3 linked regions of the Mus musculus genome follow. The protein of the gene in region 3 binds, or shares a complex with, the protein of the main gene of each other region. Links are inferred from orthologs where the notes say so. Each region holds a gene or a part of one and is shown on either strand. Other genes may lie near its edges. The genes, in order: Polr1c, Taf1c and Polr2e.

The links.
Region 1: Polr2e (region 3) and Polr1c share a complex: the UniProt entries of both Homo sapiens proteins name them as parts of the pol I pre-initiation complex. The link is inferred for Mus musculus from reciprocal best matches to the Homo sapiens genes POLR2E and POLR1C.
Region 2: Polr2e (region 3) and Taf1c share a complex: the UniProt entries of both Homo sapiens proteins name them as parts of the pol I pre-initiation complex. The link is inferred for Mus musculus from reciprocal best matches to the Homo sapiens genes POLR2E and TAF1C.

What each region holds. Positions count from the first base shown.
Region 1 is NC_000083.6:46,245,498-46,249,246, reverse strand, and holds the start of Polr1c (DNA-directed RNA polymerases I and III subunit RPAC1), read left to right. Parts: upstream 1-1,201; 5' UTR 1,202-1,283; coding exon 1,284-1,352; intron 1,353-1,446; coding exon 1,447-1,518; intron 1,519-3,032; coding exon 3,033-3,140; intron 3,141-3,498; coding exon 3,499-3,631; intron 3,632-3,749. Other genes in the region: protein YIPF3, read right to left, coding at 1-68, 209-406, 919-999. UniProt on the Homo sapiens protein: DNA-dependent RNA polymerase catalyzes the transcription of DNA into RNA using the four ribonucleoside triphosphates as substrates.
Region 2 is NC_000074.6:119,599,814-119,602,328, reverse strand, and holds part of Taf1c (TATA box-binding protein-associated factor RNA polymerase I subunit C), read left to right. Parts: exon of another isoform or gene 1-442; intron 443-548; coding exon 549-787; intron 788-896; coding exon 897-1,013; intron 1,014-1,100; coding exon 1,101-1,218; intron 1,219-1,306; coding exon 1,307-1,378; intron 1,379-1,532; coding exon 1,533-1,668; intron 1,669-1,757; coding exon 1,758-1,895; intron 1,896-2,338; coding exon 2,339-2,513; intron 2,514-2,515. UniProt on the Homo sapiens protein: Component of the transcription factor SL1/TIF-IB complex, which is involved in the assembly of the PIC (pre-initiation complex) during RNA polymerase I-dependent transcription.
Region 3 is NC_000076.6:80,037,233-80,040,981, reverse strand, and holds the start of Polr2e (DNA-directed RNA polymerases I, II, and III subunit RPABC1), read left to right. Parts: upstream 1-1,322; 5' UTR 1,323-1,342; coding exon 1,343-1,399; intron 1,400-2,368; coding exon 2,369-2,543; intron 2,544-3,597; coding exon 3,598-3,749. UniProt on the Homo sapiens protein: DNA-dependent RNA polymerase catalyzes the transcription of DNA into RNA using the four ribonucleoside triphosphates as substrates.

The sequences.
Region 1 (3,749 bases), on a different chromosome or scaffold from region 3:
CTGAGGATGTCAATGTTGGCATACAAGCTGAAGGCCCTGGAAGCCTGTCTCTTCCCTGCCTGCCACATCTGAAGGGAAATGGGTATGATGAGACTCTTGGCTCTAGATTGTTATTCAGTCTCGGCGAGATTTACGTGTGGGTCTAAGTGGAAAACCTCGATCAATTTAGGACATGCATAGGTCCTTTTTTTTTTCCCCATTGGCTTACCTGATCTGCTACCTGCCGGCTCAGTTGTCCTTTAAAGCCTTTCATGCCAAGAAACTCCCCATCCTCTTCTTCTGCAGCAGCTGCATCAGCATCTACTTCTTCCTCCCGCAGGCGCTGGTGCAGCTCACCCATGTCCTCGAAGCTGGAGCCTGAGGTATCGTCCATGTTCTCCATATCAATCACAGCCGAACCCCCACCCTGTGAAGACAACGGCTCGGAGAGTGAGGGGCCCTTCCATTGCATCCTCCCCGTTCTCCGCTCAGCTGACAACTTGAGGCTTTGATCTTCCACTGCCGAGGACATGGCTTGGAACTGCCACTCTTTCAGTGGTGGCAACTCTTGGTCGCGTCACTTTTGTGGTCCTGGAAACCCTACTATTTATTTTCAATCCACGTTGTTTTCCTACTTTCCACCTCAAAGCTCCAAAGAGTTGCAAAAGAGCCCATCTGCCATTCCCAATTCTCAAACAAGCCTATTTTTAGGGGGTGCCAGTGGATCCTAGCCTCCAGCCCCCACAGAGAGCCGAGGCCCGCGGGAGCCCTAGTTTGTCCCTTTCACGCCAGCACAAGAGCTACACCCTTCCCCGGGAAGACTCAAAGGGGACAGGCTGCGTTTCAGCGGAGCCGACCTCTAGGCCCCGCGAGAGAGAACAGCAGCCACCGTCCGGACGCCGCCAGCCCGGGGCTGCTGGCAGCAGGCGCGCTCCATACCTGGATGTTTTCTTCGAAGCCTCCCCATTCCGGGCCAGCACCATTTCGGACGCCGCTGGCCGGCGCCGCCGGAGTCGCCATGTCCCTCGAGGCTTCCCGTCGCTGGAGCACGCGCGCGTGGGAAGAGCGTGCGACCCGGGTCCGAGGGAGGGAGAGGTTCAGAGGGGCGACCGCCCGGGCAAGGTGGGGATCCGCCGGGACGCCGAAGGGAGAAACCCGGATGTTTGGCCCCACTTGACGTCCGGAAGTGAAGGACGTGGACAGAGGCGGGGCAAGATCTCGCGACATTCAAGATTGCGGGAGCCCGAGCGTTGCTGCGGAGACGCAGGCGCGGACTCGCCTCCTTTTACAGCGAGTGGCGGAAGATGGCGGCGGCTCAGGCGGTGGAGGAGATGCGGACTCGCGTGGTTCTCGGAGAGTTTGGGGTTCGCAATGTAAGAGATCGGGGCGCGGGAAGGATGAGGGCGGCACGGGGAAGTAGAGGCCTGGTGTGAAGGCTGGCCACACTGCCCTTTCTGTTGGCTCTAGGTCCACACCACGGACTTTCCCGGTAACTACGCCGGTTATGATGATGCCTGGGACCAGAACCGCTTCGAGAAGGTGGGTAGAGCTGAAGGTGCCCAGTCGGCCCGAGGGGCCAGACCTCGCAGGTTGGGGTGGGGGTCGCTGTTTCCATACAACACGCTTGAGCTCCATGGACGGGTCAGACACGGTGGTTGCTCTCGGTGGGATAATGGACCACACAGACAAGTTATTCCAGAATAGTAAGATAGCGGTGAAGATGGCTGGGATATGGTCAGGAATCATTGATGCACTGAATCCAGCTAACTGAAGGGACGTAGTTAAAGGTCAGTGAAGGGAATGGCATTTGAATTAAGCTTTGAACTATGAATAAAAGTTGAGTAGTGAAGGCCTGATTGGAGCTTCATTATATATGATTTTTTTAAAATTCACTTTGAAACTGTTTCTGTTTAGCCCTGGCACTCTCTCTATAGTCCAGGCTGGACTTGAACTCAGCCATCTACCTGCTTCTGTCTCTGCCTCCCATGCACTGGGATTAAAGGCATGAGCCACCACGCCCAATTTAGAATTTTTGAGTAGACTGATAACATTTTGCAATCTTGATAGCCAGGAGGGAATGAATTCTGGTGAATCTGCCAGCTAGTGTATGCAGGCTGAAATTGGGGGCATAGATGAACTCCAGACAGTACTAACGGAGTAAGGCAGGGAGAACTAGACGATTTGCACCAGTGCTCTGGGGAGGCAGTGTGTGAGAGAAAGGACTTTGTAACTTGAGGACCCTAAAACTTTCTTGATATGCGTGTTTGCCTGCATGTGTATTTGTGCACCACTGTGTGTTAGTGATCCCTGCAGTGTGAGGAGAATGTTAGGTCCCACCAGGTGCTGGGAACCAAACCCAGTTCTTCTGCAAGGGCAGTTAAGTGCTCTTAATAGCTGAGCCATTTCTCCAGTGGCACTGGGGAACTGTTGCTGGCTGTGTCGTTTGCCAAGCAGGAGAACAAGAATGAGGGTACACTCAGGTGCCTGCTTGTGAAGTCTATGTGCTTGCTTGAGCCAGGAGCATGGTGGAGGTCAGCCAGGGGATTAGAACCTAGGAGACAGGAACGTTTACTGTGTGGGTGGAAGGGGAAATTTAGAAAGAAGAGCAGATAAGGAAATTGGTGTTCAAAATCCAAGGGAATGTAGTTGAGAAAAGTAGGTATTAAAAAATAACGACAACAGACATGCAAGTATCAAACGGTCTAAGTAGTGTGGGAAGTTCTGCTTTTTGTATAGTAACTTCTCTGGGTGGTTTGTGGAAAATCTGGGAAGATTGGGCATAGTGGCGCACACCTTTAATCCCAGTACTTGGTAGGCAGAGGTAGGTGGATCTTTTGAGTTTGAGGCCAGCCTGGTCTACAGAGTTCCAGGACAGCCAGGACTACATGGAGAAACCTGGCCTTGGAAAAACCTAAAAAACAAGAAACACACAGCCTTGCCCCCAAGAACAGGACTGGAGACAAAATGTCTACTGAGCACCATGACTTTAGGGTGAGGGGATAGTGCAGGGTAGGAGCCAGGCAGGAGTCATGCAGGAGCTTCCCTCCTTCTAGAATTTCCGTGTGGACGTGGTGCAAATGGATGAAGACACGCTGGAGTTCGACATGGTGGGGATTGATGCTGCCATCGCCAATGCTTTCCGGAGAATCCTGTTAGCTGAGGTATTAGAGGACGTGGGCTGGAGGGTAGAAATTGTATCAATTTGTAGACGCTTTTCTCAAAGCCATCCCTCTGGGGCAGGTAGGGTGGTTCACACCTATGACAGTCTGGGCTACATAGTAAACATTGTATCAAGAATCTGAGCCACACGCCTTTAGTCCCAGCACCCCAGCACTCGGGAGGCAGAGGCAGGTGGATCTCTGAGTTCCAGGCCAGCCAGGGCTATACAGAGAAACCCTGTCTCAAAAAACCAAAAAAAAAAAAAAGAATCTGAAGGGCAAAATGAAAAAGTGCTGCCTCTTCCTTTTCCAGGCAGGGGGATGGGTGGAGGTCAGTTGTCTGCTTTGCCTCCTTGGGCAGGTGCCGACAATGGCCGTGGAGAAGGTCTTGGTGTATAACAACACGTCCATAGTCCAGGATGAGATCCTTGCTCACCGCCTGGGGCTCATCCCCATCCTCGCTGATCCTCGTCTCTTTGAATATCGGAACCAAGGTGAGGCTGAGAGCTTGGGATTATGAGTTAGGCAGAACTGACCTGGAATGCATGGGCTCAGGTCCCAGGCCTACTGCTGGGGCTTTAGTTGGCATCTTGTACATCTGCCTTCGCCTGG
Region 2 (2,515 bases), on a different chromosome or scaffold from region 3:
AAGCACCTTGAGAGGAACAGAAAGGATAAGGATGCTAAATTCCGCCTGATTCTGATAGAGAGCAGAATTCACCGATTGGCTCGATACTATAAGACTAAGCGGGTGCTCCCACCCAATTGGAAATATGAGTCATCCACAGCCTCTGCTCTAGTGGCATAAACGCTGTTGTGTGCACAAGCAATAAAATCACTTTGAGTAAAAAAAAAAAAAAAAAAAAAAAAAAAACCTTAGGCGTGGCTACATCCAGGTGTTCGGAGTGTTGACAGGGCTCTCTCGTCCACTTCCATCCCTCTGTTTGACCTGACTCAAGCAGCAACAGGATGGCTACTTGTTCCAAGGGAAGAGTCAGTTTCCGAGCTACCACACAACCCCCAGAAGTCTATGGTTGCCTTGACTGGGAACATCTGCGAGGCACTTGCTAGGAGGCACCGAGATATTCAAGGTTTGGGGTCCAGGAACAGGGAAGGGTATATTCTAGGCAGCTAAGGAAGAGGTTCTCTGCGTGTCCTTCACTGTCCCAGTGTTATCCTCTGCTGCTCTGTCCCTAGGTGTCCCTGGGCTTCCCTCAGCCGCCGGCTGCGTCGCTTCTCCATCGTTGGGGGTCCTGTCCTGAGCAGGTCAGTGTCACTACTCATGGGGAAGCTACTGCATGAAGAGCTGGCCATGCGCTGGGAGCAGCTGCTGATGGATGAGGCCTTCACCGGGGGCGCGTTGGCCTGGCTGCCCGGAAGGACAGCGCGGGCCGGACAGCTGGTCTACCCTAGTGGAGGTGCCTTGGACAAGCTGTGTATCCTTTCTCACTTGGTGGGGATGCTGACACCATCCACAGGGTGGGCCAGGAAAAGAGTGAGCCGGGGCAACCAGAATCTACCCCCAGTCCTTAATCAGGGGCTCAGATTTCCAGGAGGTCAGTGTGACTTCAGGTGGCAACCCCCGGATCCTTGAGAACCCTGGGCACGTCCAGCTGCGGGGACCTGTACGGCAGGTGGTGACCAGCACCGTCCAGGGAGAAAGTAAGATTTCTTCACTCCCTCTTCCTTGTGCAACCATCACCCTCCTACACACACACTCCGCAGGCCTGACCTCCCTGTCCCCCCCAGCGCTTCTGGCCGTCCGCTCTGACTATCACTGTGCCACGTGGAAGATTGATAAGCAGGGGCCACCAGCACTCCTGCAGGTGATGCAGGTGGAGAAAGGGGCCACTGGTATTAGCCTCAGGTAAAGGATGTGGGCTTCCCGGTGCGGACAAGGGTCTGGGAGAAGGGCTGCATTGCTGGCTGATAATGCAGCACCCTGTGCTCTGTAGCCCTCACCTGTCAGGAGAGCTGGCCATCTGCAGCCGTTCCGGAGCTGTTTGTCTGTGGACCCCACAAGCTGGGTAACTACTCTTCCCCAAACCTTCCGTTCTAAAGCAGAACCGCGGCCTTCCGCTCCATGGCCCTAGTCTCCCTTCCCTCTAGCCCAGCCCCTCAACACCCTTGCGCCCCCAGCCCCCACCAGGCCCACACTCATGGCCTGCCTTCCTCCTCAAGGCTGCAGACGATCTACAAGGACACCGAGACGCTTGCCTTCCGTGATCCGTCTCCCTGGCGCTGGGCAGACTTCACTGCCCACCCCCGGGTGCTGACTGTGGGGGACCGCACGGGTGTGAAAATGGTTGACATTCAGGTATCGGTTGAGAGGGTGAGGAGAAGCAGGAGGCGGGAGGCCCATCTCCAGCCTGAAGACTCAGGCTGAGCATGCTGTCCTTCGTCTAGGGCCCACCGGGCTGTGGGCTGCTGCTGTTCCGCGCTGGAGCAGAGGCTGCCTGCCAGAAAGGAGAGCGGGTGCTGCTTGCCCAGTACCTAGGGCAGCCAGGTCAGACCCCTCCATCTCTGCATCTCATCTGCACCCAGGTGAGCGGCAGCCTTCTTTCTCCTTGGGCTCTGATCCAGGCTTCACCAGAGCTTCGGCCAGCAGGCCTGAGGCACAGCCACAGGAACCCAGGAATGATGGGTCCCCGTGCAGGTGGTCTCCCTAGAGGCAGGTGGAATGGGTCATCTGCAAACCTAGATCAGGAGCTGGGAGGCAGCAGAGGTTGACTCTGGCTCAGGACCCCAGTTGGTGCAAGTGTCTACTGTTGGGAGTGTAGGGATGGATGTCAGGGACTTCTGAGAACCCAGCCCAGAAAATACATGTTTTAGGTTGGGTAGGCCAAGTTGGGCGGGACTTGAAGGCTGGTGGGGGTGCCGTCTGTCCTCTGGGTGTTGGGCACCTCCTGCAGGCTGTGTGGCCTGGAGAGGGTTATTGGAGGCTGGTACCAGGTATCCACTAGTCTCACCTTTCTCTTCTTCCTCAGTTCTCGATCTACCTGATGGATGAGCGCCTCCCCCTGGTGCCCATGCTTAAGTGGGACCATGGCTTGCCATCTGCTCCCCTGCTTGCCCGCCTGCTACCCCCAGCTAGCCCTGGCCATCCACGGCCCCTGCTACTGGGGGGCCAGGGTGGGCAGCTGCAGCTGCTTCATATAACAGGT
Region 3 (3,749 bases):
AACTGTAGCAGCCTAAGCCCCTTGGTCTACAGGGTAGATGGTGGGCTCAGTGTACTTGGCAAAAACTTGTCTTTCCCAGTTGGGATCAGCCTAAGTTCTCAGGCAGGAACTGGTGATGATCTGTAGATGAGCTGTCAGACGCACATCAGGACAGAATGGAGGCATCTGGACTTCCAAGGACAGACCTTGCCAGTCTTGGTGGCACACGCCTTTAATCCCAACACTGAGAGGCAGAGGCAGGCCATTCTCTGCGCTGTTGAGACCTGGTCTCTATACCAAATTTCAAGTCAGCACACTCCCCCAAAGAAAAGGAGAGGGCTGGTGAGATGGCTCAGTGGGTAAGAGCACCCGACTGCTTTTCTGAAGGTCCGAAGTTCAAATCCCAGCAACCACATGGTGGCTCATAACCACCCATAATGAGATCTGACTCCCTCTTCTGGAGTGTCTGAAGACAGCTACAGTGTACTTTCATGTAATAAATAAATAAATAAATAAATAAACAAATAAGAAAGAAAGAAAAGGAGAAAGGGGCGTTCCTGTGAACTCCCATTGTATAGTTGGAAGGGTTTAGCCCTGGAATCCCTTTCCCTAGGATTCATTTTCTCACCACCTTCTCAAACTTTTCACGAGTTAGCCCACCATATACACACTTGTTTGTTCATTGTGTGTATGCCCGCACATCGATTGTTTTCATTTTAGATTTTTAGTCGTTTAACTATGTTTATCTGTGTGTCTGCATGTGGGTATAGACCTGTAAGTGTGGCCCTTGGAGGCCAGAGGCATCAGACTCTCTGGAGCTGGAGTTACAAATGGCTGGGGGCCACCTCATGTGGGTGCTTGCATCCGATTTCTCATGTAAAGTGCAGATACACTAATAAAAACTTGTATAAAAAGGGAAATTGAGGCACATGAACCTGGCTGTTCATCACTGGTCTCTTGCTTTCTTTCGAGACAGGGTTTTCTCTGTAGACCTGGCTATAGAGCAGGCTGGCCTCGAACTCACAGATCTGCTTGCCGAGGACGGGGATTAAAGGCGTGGACTACAGCCCGGGAGACGCCTAAGGGAGGGAAATAAAACTGTTATCAGGTCAAGTATCGCGAGATCTTCCCGACGCGCGACACCGCCCCGGTGAAGGCTGGGGCTGCCCAACGCGCAGCCTGTCGTGGAAAGTAGGTTTATTCCGGCGTTCACCTTAGACAGCACGAACCTGGGCGGGGGCCTTCCCAGCCCTTGGCGCAGGCGCACTGCCGGGGGGCGGGGGGCATTTTGTGCGTCCGGCGCAGGCTCCGTGCTGGCAGCTCCACGAGCGCGCGTGCACAGTTGTTTGGGAAGCGCGACAGCATGGACGACGAGGAGGAGACCTACCGGCTGTGGAAGATCCGCAAGACGATCATGCAGGTGATCAAGCGTGAGGAGCTTTATGCGAGCGAGCGTTCAGTTGCGGACTAACTGCGGGTTGTCCGCCGAGGCCCGCCTCCCGCAGGGGCCAATCCTCCTGGATTGGAATGCATCCCCGTTTAAAGTGTGGAGCCCACCCACGCTGGCTTCAACTCTTAGAAATCCTACTGCTTCCACCTCCTAACTCTGCCTCAGGGGAAAAGGCCTGGGTGGGCTCCGTTTCGGGAGAGGGGGCTGCTGCGTGGTCACACTTGGTTTTATGCGAGCTAGGTAGCCGCCCACACGAAAGCTATCAACCATCTGTAACCCCAGTTCCAGGGGATCTGACGCCCTGTCCTGATCTCTGGGGACTCCAGACACACATAGGATGAAAAAACAGTATTTTTAAAAACAGAACAAGCCGGTATGATGGTACACGCCTTTAATCCCAGCACTCTGGAGGCAGAAGCAAGCGAATCTCTTTAAATTAGAAGTCAGCCTCATCTACATAGTGATTTCCAGAATAGACAAAGTCACGCAGAGAAACCCTGTCTTGAAAAAGAAAAAGGGAATAAAAGAAAAAATTCTTGGTTGTTTTGAGTTGAACACATGAGACACCATTATTAGATAAAGAGGTATGCATAGTTTTGACTTATGCTGTGTTGGTGGAGCCCAGGGCCACCTCATGCCTGTTCCTCAGCCCTGATCCTGGATGATGCTCTAGTCTCCCTCATCAGGAACACTCAAGACTGGGGACAGGAAGGTGCCTGTATTCAGAAGGTTGCCTACAGTTGCCAGGGGATTAATCCCAGCCTGCTCCACTGAGGTTGGGGGGAGGAGAGGCTTGGCCGGGCCGCTGTGGTCTGAGCCTATACAGAGTTTGGGTACTGCTGGATCAGTTCAGTGTTAGTCCCCAGCCTCGGCCATTCAGGGTCAGGTCTGCGAGCTAAGTGCTCAGGCTGACTGCCTCTTTGCCTCTTGTCTCTGCAGCTGTGTCATGACCGTGGCTACCTGGTGACCCAGGATGAACTGGACCAGACACTTGAGGAATTCAAGGCGCAGTTTGGGGACAAGCCCAGCGAAGGACGGCCAAGGCGCACAGACCTCACGGTGCTGGTGGCCCACAACGATGACCCCACAGACCAGATGTTTGTGTTCTTCCCAGGTGAGGCCCTTGGGCTGGCAGGAGTGGTCTCCTCCAGGCCCTGGCTCAGGTGCCAGTGAATGCATGTCCCACTCTGGCCTAACGCTGCCTGTAAGATTGTGGCAGCTGCCTGCTTTTGTCCCTGTCTCCCCTGGGAAGCCTCCCTTTTGCTGGTGTCGTTTTCATCCCATAAGCCCCAGAACCAGCTCTCAGCCCTCCACCCCCTGGCTCCTATATGCTGTATTCTATAGCTTCTGCCTGGGAGTCCCAGGGCCAGCTATGCCACCCCCACACCCCCTGTGTGCTGTATTCTACAGCTTCTGCCAGCAGCGCAGGTGTCTTGTGGGAGTGAAGGCTATTGGGGAGCCCAGGACCTCCCTGTGCAGCTACATTCAGTCTCCCCAGACAGCTTGCCTCTTTTAATACCTAATGCTTTGTGGCCCCGGGACCTGGTTTTTAGTGTGAGAATTGGGGGGTGCGGGGATGGGCATGGTAGCATATGCCTGTAAGCCCAGTGTTTGAGAGGCAGAGGCAGGCAGTCGAGGCCAGCCTGGTCTATACAATGACTTCCGGGACAACTATGGAGGGCATTGGTTCTCAGCCTTCCTGATGCTGGGACCCCTTAGTACACTTCACATTGTGACCTCCAACCATAAAATCTTCATTGCTAATTCATAACTAATTTTGCTACTATTATGAGTCATAATGTAAATATACCTGTGTTTATCCAGCAATTTGCAAACTAGGTGGCCTGGGTCTGCTCCTGCGCTCTGCCTGAGGAGACAAGGCTAGCCTCATGTAGACACAGGGTCCATCTCTTGGTCAGTCAGTTTCTCCTTGAGGCTGTCTAAGCTGACAGTACCATATCCCCCAAACCCCAGAGCTGCTGAGAGCCCCCACCCCCGTTCCAGGGGGGCCGCAGTTCCTGCATACCCTGCAGCTTCTGCAGTGATAGCTGAGCCCCCTGGCAGCCCCATCATGGCTGCCTTGATGTTCTAGTCTTCCCTTGCAAGCAGAGAAACTAAGACCACAGGCTCCAGTAGTGAGTGTGAGGGTGGTGCTTGTGTGCCCGCAGAGGAGCCCAAGGTGGGCATCAAGACCATCAAGGTATACTGCCAGCGCATGCAGGAGGAAAACATCACACGGGCGCTGATTGTGGTGCAGCAGGGCATGACGCCCTCCGCCAAGCAGTCCCTGGTGGACATGGCCCCGAAGTATGTGCTGGAA